Neodiprion lecontei: one gene and its partners. The protein of the gene in region 3 interacts with the protein of the main gene of each other region in a biochemical or structural test. Links are inferred from orthologs where the notes say so. Each region holds a gene or a part of one and is shown on either strand. Other genes may lie near its edges.

Region 1 (3,756 bases), on a different chromosome or scaffold from region 3:
ATTACCACGACAAGTCAAGCTGATGTCTGCAACTGTATGAGTGCAAGGATATTCATGTTTTGTTCCAATTATCCAGACATTATTTTTAATATGGTAGCTTTTTAAACATCCATGACAATTTTAATACTTGAAAATAATGATAAAATTTCAAGCCATGTGATTTCCAAATATATTTTATTTGTGCAGTGTACGAACGTACCGTGATACCACCATTTCGTTTTCTTTGGATTCTTATTACATGTCTTCACATAAAAGGAATTATCAGGTGGCCTTTTCTGCGAACCAAAAATAAAAAAACAATTAGAATTGGAAAGATTCACCCATAGCATAAAATTGCTCAATACTCAATAATAACTTCAAATATTCAAAAGAAGGAATTGAAGATTGTGGTAAATTTTTCTTTTGTATAAAATAATGAATATTACTGGAAGCTTGAACATCTTTCAATGTTCTGCTTTTTTGTTGACAGATCATTCCTACTAATGATGAACAAAACTTAGATCCAAACTTTCGAACTATAACTCAGAAGAGTTGATGAACTAAGATCTTCATTATTTCATTTTCACAGTTAAATGTATTCTTCATAAACTGAACAAGTCAACTGAGGAAACCAGGTATTTGAAACGCTTTGAACAACTCAATGAGTCAATTAAGATAGCGAGGAACGAATATAAAACAAAAGAAAAATCATACAAGAAAAAAAAACCACATAAAAAATATTAGAGCATTACCTTTTCTTTGCAACTGCTCAGCATAGAAACTATACTTAAACAGACGCTTTGGACACTCAGAGCAGGTGACCAATCATCAGTCAGTATAGACAGACAGATATGACCATTGCTGTAGACATGTGGATGAACAGGGATGTTGCCTCCAATAAATGTGACTTCAGGTGAATCAAATGGGTACTTGGAACTGAACTTAAATTGCAACTGAAATCTTTCACCCTCGTATAGCGTCCCCTTTGCTCCTTCCATATGGATTATCCATTGTGTCAGATTCTGGCCAGCTTGATCACCATCTACGTGAACACCAGGAGGTGGTTCACGCATCAATGACATCAACTCCTTTTGTAATCTCCGCTGAAATCCAGTAAAATTTATTCTTTGTCAGATAAAGTAATTCAAATGAGGGTCAAGAATAACTAACAGAATTTGGAGACTATACCACAGAATCTGCTGAGAGTAAAACCCACGGGTAATTAACTAGTTATATTTTGAATGCTGTTGTAGATAACCTAGTAAAATATCAAAGTATCTATGTACCATAATATTAATAAAATTTATCACAGAGAACTGCCTCGGAATGAAGTTCTTGGAACAGTAGGTAAGCAATTATCAAATAACTTATCAAAATTGACTATATTCTACATTAGCAAGTTTTAATCAAATTTCTTTGTCTTCATTTAGCAACTTGTGAATTCTTTGATTTTTTCCTATTCTACCGATTTCCCAGGTTTGTGACAACCTTGGCAAATACATTGATATATTCGATTATTTGTGAACTAGTGGCGGTTGTACAATAATTTAAAGTAAAAATTTCTATCTTGCATTTTTCTGTAGCAGAAGCGATATATAAAATCTAGGACATCTGTCACAAATGAACAAATGTGCTTGGACCACATTAAATTTAATAATTATAATAATCCAGTTTTCGAAGTGTCAAACATAATCCAGTCTTGTACATTATAGACCAGCCATAATTTTTCATTTTATAAGACTATTTTGCTTGCGTTTGTGAGTCATAAGGTGGGATAAAAATATGTTATCACTTTCAGTTAAGCATAGAAATTCATTGTTCAGAATTATCATGAGTCACATACGTCAAAAGATTTAATACAAATTGCATTGGCACGTGACTAAGCGACGAAAACTAAAATTGACAAATGGAATAAATAAATAGAGTAAAACGTCACATTGGCCCAAGAGGACAATGCACTCACGTAGTTATTGGACTAGATACCCAATCGATACACTTTGGTATCTCAATTTTAGCTACCCAGTAAAATAAAATTTGCACACTACTTAGAAGCGTAGTAGCAGTCAGAATAATCTGACATTCACCTGCATTTCGCAAAAAATTTAACACCGACTCACCTCGGACGGGGACATTGCCGCCATTATTGTTAAACAGCACTTGAAACATAACCATTCATGGTATCGGAAAATTATGAACTTTAACGACGATTGTTTGGTATCTGAACGGTAAGAGGTGATGAATATTTGCAGCTATAAAATCGCATTATATCAACTTTATTCCAGATACATTGGTAGCGCCTAATTTGGAAACAAGTTTGTTAATTTGACAGTAATCCAAACTGACACTAAAGACAAGCAGCACCAGGCCACAGCAGACAGACCTCTGACCACACAATCCATGCTAGAAATAGTAACGTCAGAGATGCCCGCATAAAATTTTGACGACTGTAATTACCAACAGGTGTGTCAATTATTCCCGCTAGAGGCGCAGCGTCGGACTACTCATTATTACCATATTATTATCCATGAGTTTTCTACTCGTTCCAATCTCTCTATATAGTTCGTGATTGTTAATTGTGACTTACCCGCCAAAAAGTATGGCGAGGCAAATGTAAAGATATGTGTCAGCAAATTCATATTGGTTTTTAAGTAATCATTTTTGACAGAAATCCACCGTAGTGATAAGTGCAACGTGTGCTGCATCAAATATATTGATATATTTAATACATAATAATGTCCACCTGAATATACAACTTCCTTGACGTTTTTTATAGATTCATAGATTTCTGTTCTAACCAACTATTGTCTGGCAATACACCAAAGGTAAAAGAAGAATGATATTAATTATCTACCAAGTCTAAGAATACAATAGATATAACAGTGAATTTTATTTCAATGAATTTTTTGCTTTTTTATTTAGGTAGAAAACCTGTTTGACCATGGCTAGTGACAATGATTCCGACGTTGGAGATTTGCTAGAAGATCTGCTAGCAAATGATGAAACAGAAGATGCAGATGCATCCATTCAAAAATCAAAGCCAACAGAATCAAGCCTCAACTTTTTAGAACAAGAAACTAATATTCCTAGTCCTCATAGATATTCTACACTCGGTAAAAAAACTATGATTCACAATGGTGATACGGATTCATCTGATGATGAAGATAAACGTGATTTTGAAAATCAAAATTACTCCAGCTCAGGTCGAGAGATAAAGAACATTTTAAAGAGTAATGCATCCGAAACAAACACCTCTTATCCAAAAACATTTAAAAATACATCCGGATCTTTCACTAAAAATCACAGTACTGAGTTATGCTGTCCACCTGACTCCACCAAGACTGAATCAAAAGACATATACTGCGACCCAATATTTGGGTTAAGAATTATAAATCCTGTTGTGTCTTCAGCCTCTCTAAAGGAAAGAATGACAGGTAGAACACCAGTCACAGTTTCTAGAATCAAATATCACTTGAACACTGCAGATCTCCAAACTGACTGGGTAATTGCCGGAGTACTTATCAACAAATCTGGTACACGCAGTTCACAAAAAGGAAACCAGTACTGTATCTGGAAGATAAGTGACCTGTCTGATGGTATTAAAACCGTATCTTTATTTTTATTTGGTGATGCCTACAAATCATTTTGGAAAACTAATACTGGCATGGTGATTGGAGTTTTGAACCCAGGAGTACTGGATAACAAAGATGAAAATATAAATGAGGCAGCCTTATCTGTTGATAATGGACAAAGAATAATGATATTGGGAGTGTCTAAAGA
Region 2 (3,756 bases), about 29 Mb from region 3:
TAGTAGTAGTAGTAGTAGAAGTAGTAGTAGTAGTAGTAGTAGTAGTCTATGAAAATGCTAGCCAGTACCAAATACTAGTAAAAATTCCAACTGACGATTATCTCTATGTTGTTATATGGTAAAATCACGTAGTGAGTATTATTATATTCCACATCTGTGAGAGCTCAACCAGTCAGTTAATATACAGCAGCTCTGCCATTCTCCTAAAAACTCGTATCACATATATGAAGAGTCGATCTATGGATTCTACCTTCTCACACGTCACTAGAAGCGTAGTTCAAAATAACGACTCTGTGAATCGTCGAGATAAAAACATTTTTCTTTCAGATAAAAAAAAGCGTAAAGAACCGATGTCTTTTTTCGAGTATTTGTGTGAATTTGCAACTCTATTGCTCTGATTTTCACCGCCGTTATTCAATTTGGATACATAATCAAGAGAGTAAAAAAATTAAACAAACGGTAATAAAATGGAAATAAATTTAAACGTCGAAACTGTGTGAATAATATCGAAAATAGAAAATGCAGTCTGTCATTTTAATTATAATACGTATAATTTTATTAGAAAAAACCTTTTATTCTTTCAAATAGCAAAATTTTCGACAGAGGTGCAGCAGTAGCAGCAGCAGCAGCAGTAGCGGCAGCGACAACAGCATCAGTGGCAACAGCAGGGGACTGAGATAGTATGTTAGTCTGGTGGAGGAAGGTGACAGGGTGGTGGTGCAATTTGTTCGAGGTCTAGGAGGAACAAGGTGGTAACGGGAACAAGGATCGTAAGATGGGGACGATGAGGCATTGGTGTTTTTGCCATGCGCCATGCGTGCGAGAGGAAGGCTCCGATAACGGACCAGGCTGAGATCAGTTGTCCATGGCGTATCTACGGGTCCATTCTTTGGCATTGCGTATCGCTTCACCTTCGTTAATCTTCCACAATTCGGCGACATCGTTTGCTAATGGATCATCAGGGTTTGGTGCACTCAAGAGAGCCTGTATTGATAGCAGTACTGTCCTTATCTGAAGAGCAGGACTCCATTTGTCCTTCAATATATCCAGGCAGATTCTGCCCAATCTGGTAACATGAAACCAAATACAATCAAATGTTTTAGTTATCAGTTCAGCTTTTTCAACAGTTTACATTGTAGAATACATTATAATAGTAGATGTAGCATACCTGTCTATATTGGGATGATATATTTTAGTAATAAATCTAACTTTAGGGGCTGACATAGGGTAATCCTCTGGTAAAAATAATTCTAGTTTAAACAGTCCGCCTTCGAACGGTGAGTCTTCGGGACCTGTTACAATGACGTGAAAGTATCTAGCGTTTGCATCGTCTGGTACAGCGCTGATGCCAGGGACCGGCTCCTGCATCAATCTCTGCGTCTCTTTTATTATACGGCGTGGTAGGTCCGCCATTATTAATCTGTAAGAAAAACGATCGACGACAATATGAAATCAGTGTCAGACAAAGTCAGCGAACTAAGGAGCGAAGAATAAACAGGCAGTCAATAACCTTACAGCAAAAGCAAAATGCAAAGTACATATATGTCAAGCCAAAAGTCTACAGCAATGATACGTACATATACAAATAGTTATCACGAATTTGTGTTATCAACTTTTCATTCTCTGATCAAAAAATCAAACGAGACATAATAGGAGTAAAAATGGAAGGAAAAAAGTACGGCAATCTCTCGCGAAAGCGGGATGACGGCACTTATATTCGAGTAAACAAAGGCGTATATCATTGGGCGGCGAGTAATTTCGACATTAGATCGAAGCCGTTGATCGTGCTGTGGCAAGCGATGGGTGTTTGCATTGCGGAACAGTAACTGTAACAATGTACGTACATTTTGGTTTAAAAAAATGTGCCCGCGTCACCCCGAAGGTCTGGCAGTATGCGTACTCCGTCACTGTTACTGGGGGTATTCGTGATCGCCTGCCAGCTCTCGCAAGATCCTCGGTGGTGGTGTACTACTTCCAGTTAGCGGTTTAATCGTGTATTATATTTTCTATTCTCGTTCGCCGATATCTAGCGAGGCTCTTCACCTTTTGGTTAAGTACAAATTAGGTTAACACGAGCCGGATAGTGAAATTAGAATTTTAGATAATCTACTAGTACCTAGGCTTTGATTTCTATTATGAAAAGAAAACTAATTTAATTTTTTAACACGATCAAGTGTGTGTATCCACAGCTAGGTTCTGTGTTTCTTGCAATTTCGATAGTTAACTTCCTCATACGCAGGTGGCGACAGTGGAGCGGAACGGGAATGGTGGATGATATTATTCAGTCTCGCCAATTTCGTCACGGATTGTAATTTCATTCGCTTGCTTTAGGCAAATGCGATAGTCAGGTTAACCTTAATCATCGACAAAAATTGACCAGCATATTATGAGCTATTACATTCACTTGTGCAACTTTTTTATGAATTGGATCGTAAAATAAAAATTTACCCTTGACGCCACAAATCAAGGGCATCCCAACACATGCGGCCGGTCCGGAACTTCAGCGTGTCTGGATTTTCATGGACAGCAGAATGCTGTCGCAGAAGCGCTACCTAGAATGCGTTCCGAAATTATCTGGCAGCGCCAAAAACTCTCTAGTACAGAGGCAGCGCTATACCCAAAATTGGCAGCGCAAAAGAGATGAAGGATTGTTGACACACAGGCTGCTATCGGAGCGCACCCCTACAGTGCCGCAAAACGGATTGTAGAGTAACCTGATCTGAAGCGTTATCTAGACCAGTCAGAAGGCAGCTTTAAACGGAAAATCTTCTTTTAACAAGTGCAAAATAAGTCAGAATCAGGCCCCTGCTTTATTGACATTCCTATTTGTCGAAAACTCGGTCGCGAAATAATATTGTATATTGCTACCCGTGAAAATCTAGGCTAAGGTCTCTCGTCTCCATGAGCTTAGACTTCGAAAGCGAGCGCGTCGACTTGGAACGTTGACTTATGGTATAGCCAAGATACAACGTAACGTGCATCAACGAGAGAGTTGTCAACGTTGAAAATACACGTAAAATTTGTAATGTTTGTTTACTATTATTCTTATACGACTCCTCTAATTTCAATTAATTTGAATTAGTAATACCGATCAAGCTTGCCGCTCGTGTCAAGCCAATGTCGTCAGGTAGGTAAGTTAAATCCCTTTCTGTTCTACGGAGCGTGACTCTGTCGACAACGATTAACAGAAGAGCACAGACCTGTCATCATTATCGTTTCAAAAGTCAAATGCGTCAGGAGCACGGAGACGTCATGTCATTGTTTCAAGCGTGTCCTCGCGTCTCGTTAACCCGTCGTTATAAATAAATAAAACGTATCACCGATCTATTTCGATTAAACGGAGCGTCAGAATTTATCTTTCTGGTATGTATCTGCTCCTTTCTATGGATGAAATGTATGTGCACACATGTATCGTATTATCAACATCGCAATGTTTACATACAAATTTACGTGAAACTTCATCACGGACGTCTGCCTCGTTCACACGCAGTTAATTATAATAATATTATCAGCCGTTAATACCGATTTTATCAAAGAATCAAGATCGCGATGCCTTTTGTTATCATTTGTTTACCAGCATGACCGAATTAATTTAACAAATGATAAGAATTCGTCAATCGGTGATTCAGCTTGATATAGGTATCTATTGTTTTCGCTGATCGCCTACCTAACCTGTAAAAATGATCGAAATATACTTGCAAATTTCAAGACGAGCCCCCAATTCTCATCTTTTGACAGCACTAAAATTGCTATTAT
Region 3 (3,756 bases):
TAAAGCTGTTTTAACAGCTTCCAGGACTTCCAAGGGCTGAACACCAGGCAGCTTCAGAGTCCTCTCGATAAATAGAGGATCGGAGATGTGCTGAGCTGCGCTCTCCGCAGCCTGTTTGAATAGTCCTTCGAAGGTGTCTCTGGCCCACTGCAAAGTGTGTTCAATGGCATTCGGAAAATTCTTTAAAGTACAAATTGGGATGCTCTTCTCCGGAGGGTCTTGAGACGAACTGTAAGACTCCGTTAGGAACGGCACAACAACTTGAGTGTTTCCCTTGGTTCCCAGGGTTCCGGATTCAAGCAGTGGTTTTCGGTAATACACACATCTTCGGTCCATGTAAATTCTGGCATCCACATTGTCCAAGGCATTGGCGACTCCATCGAGTACTTCAAAGAACTCGTCGTTGTAAGTTTTCTCAGTCTCTGGTCCAACTCTATTCTCGTGGGCAATCACCTTCATGTTAGGATTCATGCCTTTAATTACTCGTGCAGCGGTAGAAGCCTTGGATCTTTGAACGTCCGTAGGTCTGAACAAAAATTGTCTATTCAAGTTGGATTTTTCAATTAAGTCCATATCAGTCACGGTGACGCAGCCATTTTCCGCACCAACACCCATCATGGCAAAATTCTTTAGCAATTCACAGCCAATTGCGCCAGCTCCAACGACAAAGTACTTGAGCGCCCCAATTTTCGATTGGAATTTTCTCCCAAACACGGCAACTTGAGAATCGTAACGAGTCCCGGTTGGACAGGCATCCTCCTCTGATAATTCCGACTTATCAGCGGGCAGGCATTCGATGGCGTCGAAGTAGAGCCACTGGAAAATTGGGGAAAACTTTCCGGAGCAAGCTTTCATGACTTCTTGAGCAACTACACCTCCGATCGTTGCATTCATGGGATTCAAATCTCCGGCGGAAACTTTGGCAAAAGTTTCTAGCAGCTCAACGTTAATCTCAATGTCGTTTCCACCATCTTCCTTCACCGATTTAGCAACAGCTACAAATTCCTGGGCATCTTCTTGATTCCAAGGGCGAGGAAGGCGTCCTTTAGTCTCAATGTATTTGTGCAGTGTGGTAAAGGCAAGATGCAGTTGTTCCGGATAGTCAAACTTGCCAAAATCAGTGATGAGGAACTCCGGCTCCTTCAGAGCCACTTTGAGTGGCTTGAATTCCAATGTTTTTGGCATTTTCACCTGAGTCACAATACCGCCTCTAATGTACTCCGAGTACTTTGTGGTATCTCCGATGCTGAACGTGTACGGGCCGAGCACCTTGATCTTCTTGGGTTCACAGCCGTTGAGCTCCGTGGTGCCTTGGATTTCGGAAAAGGTGACGTAATCTCCATCCTCCATGCCGTGCCTGCTGTCGTCGAGGCAGGTCACAATACCCTCGACGTCCCTGGATATACTGGCTACCATGGCGCTGATCGGAGGTTCACCGTTGGTATCTACGACGGTGAAAGAAGGGCCGAAGTCGCAGAAGACTTGGGAGAACAGACCACGAGTCTCGGCGATGATCAGAGCGATATTATTGGCGTGGGTTATTTCAGATATGCGTAGTTGCTCGGAAAGTGATGTGTTTGTGAGGACAATGACCTTGAAATTTTTAATATATTCCTTGGACAAGGGGCCGGCATAGTGACGAGTCGGGACGTAATTATTCAGCTCGGATAAATGGTAGCTGCAAGCCTCGGCGCGATTCTTTCCAACGTCAGACTCGGTCAGGTAAAACTGAGAGCCGAGGTCGGTTATTTGACAGACGGTGTCGTCGTGCAAGGTCACGGACTTTACGCCGCCGAGGATAACATTCTTCGCAATTTCTACACCCAGGCCGCCGAGGCCCGATATCAGAACGTCCGAAGACGCCATTCGGCGCATGGCATCGTGCCCGAGGACGTACAGCTGACGGGAGTAAAGTCCCTCGTCGATTTCGGCCGGTGCGCGGGAAGTCGAGCCATTTTTCGCCATCTCTACGATCGCCGTGGGGTTCTCGGCTCCTCCCGTAGTCGCAGCAGCAACGCGTCGCTTCTTGGCTGGGGGGTCAACGGAGCTCTCCACCACCTCAGCACTAGACATCGGACTTCAAGGAAGCAGTTTTATATATCTGTCGATTGTTTTCCTCGTCCGCTTGCACTGATAAGCCCTACGCTTCACGCGCAACACGTCTCCTCTCCTCTCCTCTCTACGACGTCCTTCCGCACCACCCTCTCTTCGCTCTTCCCTCTTCCAGCCCTTTCCCTCGTTCGCCGCGTTGATTTCTTTCCTCGATCGACAACGTGCACGATTGTATTTCGATTTACCTGCTTCACGTTAAGACAAAGACTATTCGTCACTAGGATTGGGGTCTCTAGCCCTGACGCACGCACAAGATGAACAACCAACCATACAGGAATGATTTCTCGTTCTTTCTTCGCTCCTCGGCCGCCGATTCACCCACTGCCTTCTCGATATCGAGTTATCGCAACCCTGCAGTCTGGACAAAAGTAGAACAGGTGATTCCATCTTCGTCCGTAACTACACGAACGAAATTTTGATTCGTCATTCTAAGTGACTACTGCGCCGTCTTACCAAACTTGAACCGTACCGTCAACTTTTACAGTAAATTCCTCCGTCAACGACTACGTTCAACTGAAGATAGACGGAGAATGCTAGCGCAGAGTTATTTCTCGTAATAATTTATCGGGTCTGATAGAGTTTGGGGTCAATTCTAGTGGCCTGTACTTACCGACCCGTCTTGTGGGATCCGATGTAGAGTCGGTATAGCAGAATGCTGCTATTTTTTCCAACGCCCTTCAGCTCATCGTGCACGCACGCTAAAGTCCGCAGGACTAGCAATTTTTATACACCTCGTCAACGGCGAGCGTACCTACGGACTTCCAGAGATTAAATCACTGATTTGAAATTTAATACATAAATCAATAGGATATTTTCAACTTTAGGATTTCTGTTATGATTCGGACCCCAATTCGCACAACTGCGAGTATGGCAGATGCTTCATATTTCTGCCAGTTTTTATTCGTTCTCAATATAAGTAATGTCAAGTGACTGCTCGTCGACTGACAAATATACAACGACTCGAGATATGGCGAACGTTTTTTTTTCAAATTTTTTATTTATTCGCCCCTTTTCAAATACTTAACGGTAGAGTTGCGGAACAATCACATAACCATGACGAATCGGTAGATCAATGCCTTTGAAACAACGAGTCGACCGTCTATTAACATACTGTTGTACGGACGAACTTGCCGCCATTCAATTTGAATTGCTGTTCTCTGAGGAAGCTGCCTTCTTATTTGCTCTACTGTTTAGTAAAATGAAAATTATAAAAAATACAAGATTCTGAGTAATATACGGTGCGGAGTAAAGAAAACTGACGACAACCACAATATTTCACAACAAACCTTCTGCATTTTAATTACGTATGTAAGCCACACCTACACTGTATTATAAATACCGCACTCCATTATCAACGATTCAATCTTTTACAATAATTAGTCAACTACCGGGTTAGCTTTACATTTACGTTCTTCAAAACGTAAGAAATTAGAGGTAAATGGTCTGCTATACCATTTCCTTAATTATTTCATCGGTTTACAGCACACCACAAATACGTACTTCTGCACACAGGGTAAAAATATCTCTTGTTGCAAAACACACTGTTTGAGAATTATGGTATAATCAATATACTCTCTCACTATGTTATATTCAGTTATCTAATATGTGGGTAAATGACGCTAAAATATAATATACATTTGATAA

What was found.
Region 1: of the proteins of ubiquitin-like modifier-activating enzyme 1 (region 3) and ubiquitin-conjugating enzyme E2 W, one has a biochemical effect on the other in vitro, tested with the Homo sapiens proteins (5 studies listed by BioGRID, with this or other methods). The link is inferred for Neodiprion lecontei from reciprocal best matches to the Homo sapiens genes UBA1 and UBE2W.
Region 2: of the proteins of ubiquitin-like modifier-activating enzyme 1 (region 3) and ubiquitin-conjugating enzyme E2 N, one has a biochemical effect on the other in vitro, tested with the Homo sapiens proteins (10 studies listed by BioGRID, with this or other methods). The link is inferred for Neodiprion lecontei from reciprocal best matches to the Homo sapiens genes UBA1 and UBE2N.

What each region holds. Positions count from the first base shown.
Region 1 is NC_060265.1:21,205,153-21,208,908, forward strand, and holds the start of ubiquitin-conjugating enzyme E2 W, read right to left. Parts: upstream 2,345-3,756; 5' UTR 2,121-2,344; coding exon 2,097-2,120; intron 1,083-2,096; coding exon 732-1,082; intron 276-731; coding exon 200-275; intron 1-199. Other genes in the region: protein MCM10 homolog, read left to right, coding at 2,918-3,756. UniProt on the Homo sapiens protein: Accepts ubiquitin from the E1 complex and catalyzes its covalent attachment to other proteins.
Region 2 is NC_060264.1:30,171,058-30,174,813, forward strand, and holds ubiquitin-conjugating enzyme E2 N, read right to left. Parts: upstream 2,497-3,756; 5' UTR 2,484-2,496; coding exon 2,449-2,483; intron 2,377-2,448; exon of another isoform or gene 1,845-2,376; intron 1,805-1,844; exon of another isoform or gene 1,578-1,804; intron 1,421-1,577; coding exon 1,169-1,420; intron 1,067-1,168; coding exon 856-1,066; 3' UTR 554-855; downstream 1-553. UniProt on the Homo sapiens protein: The UBE2V1-UBE2N and UBE2V2-UBE2N heterodimers catalyze the synthesis of non-canonical 'Lys-63'-linked polyubiquitin chains. This type of polyubiquitination does not lead to protein degradation by the proteasome.
Region 3 is NC_060264.1:984,700-988,455, reverse strand, and holds the start of ubiquitin-like modifier-activating enzyme 1, read right to left. Parts: upstream 2,612-3,756; 5' UTR 2,074-2,611; coding exon 1-2,073. UniProt on the Homo sapiens protein: Catalyzes the first step in ubiquitin conjugation to mark cellular proteins for degradation through the ubiquitin-proteasome system.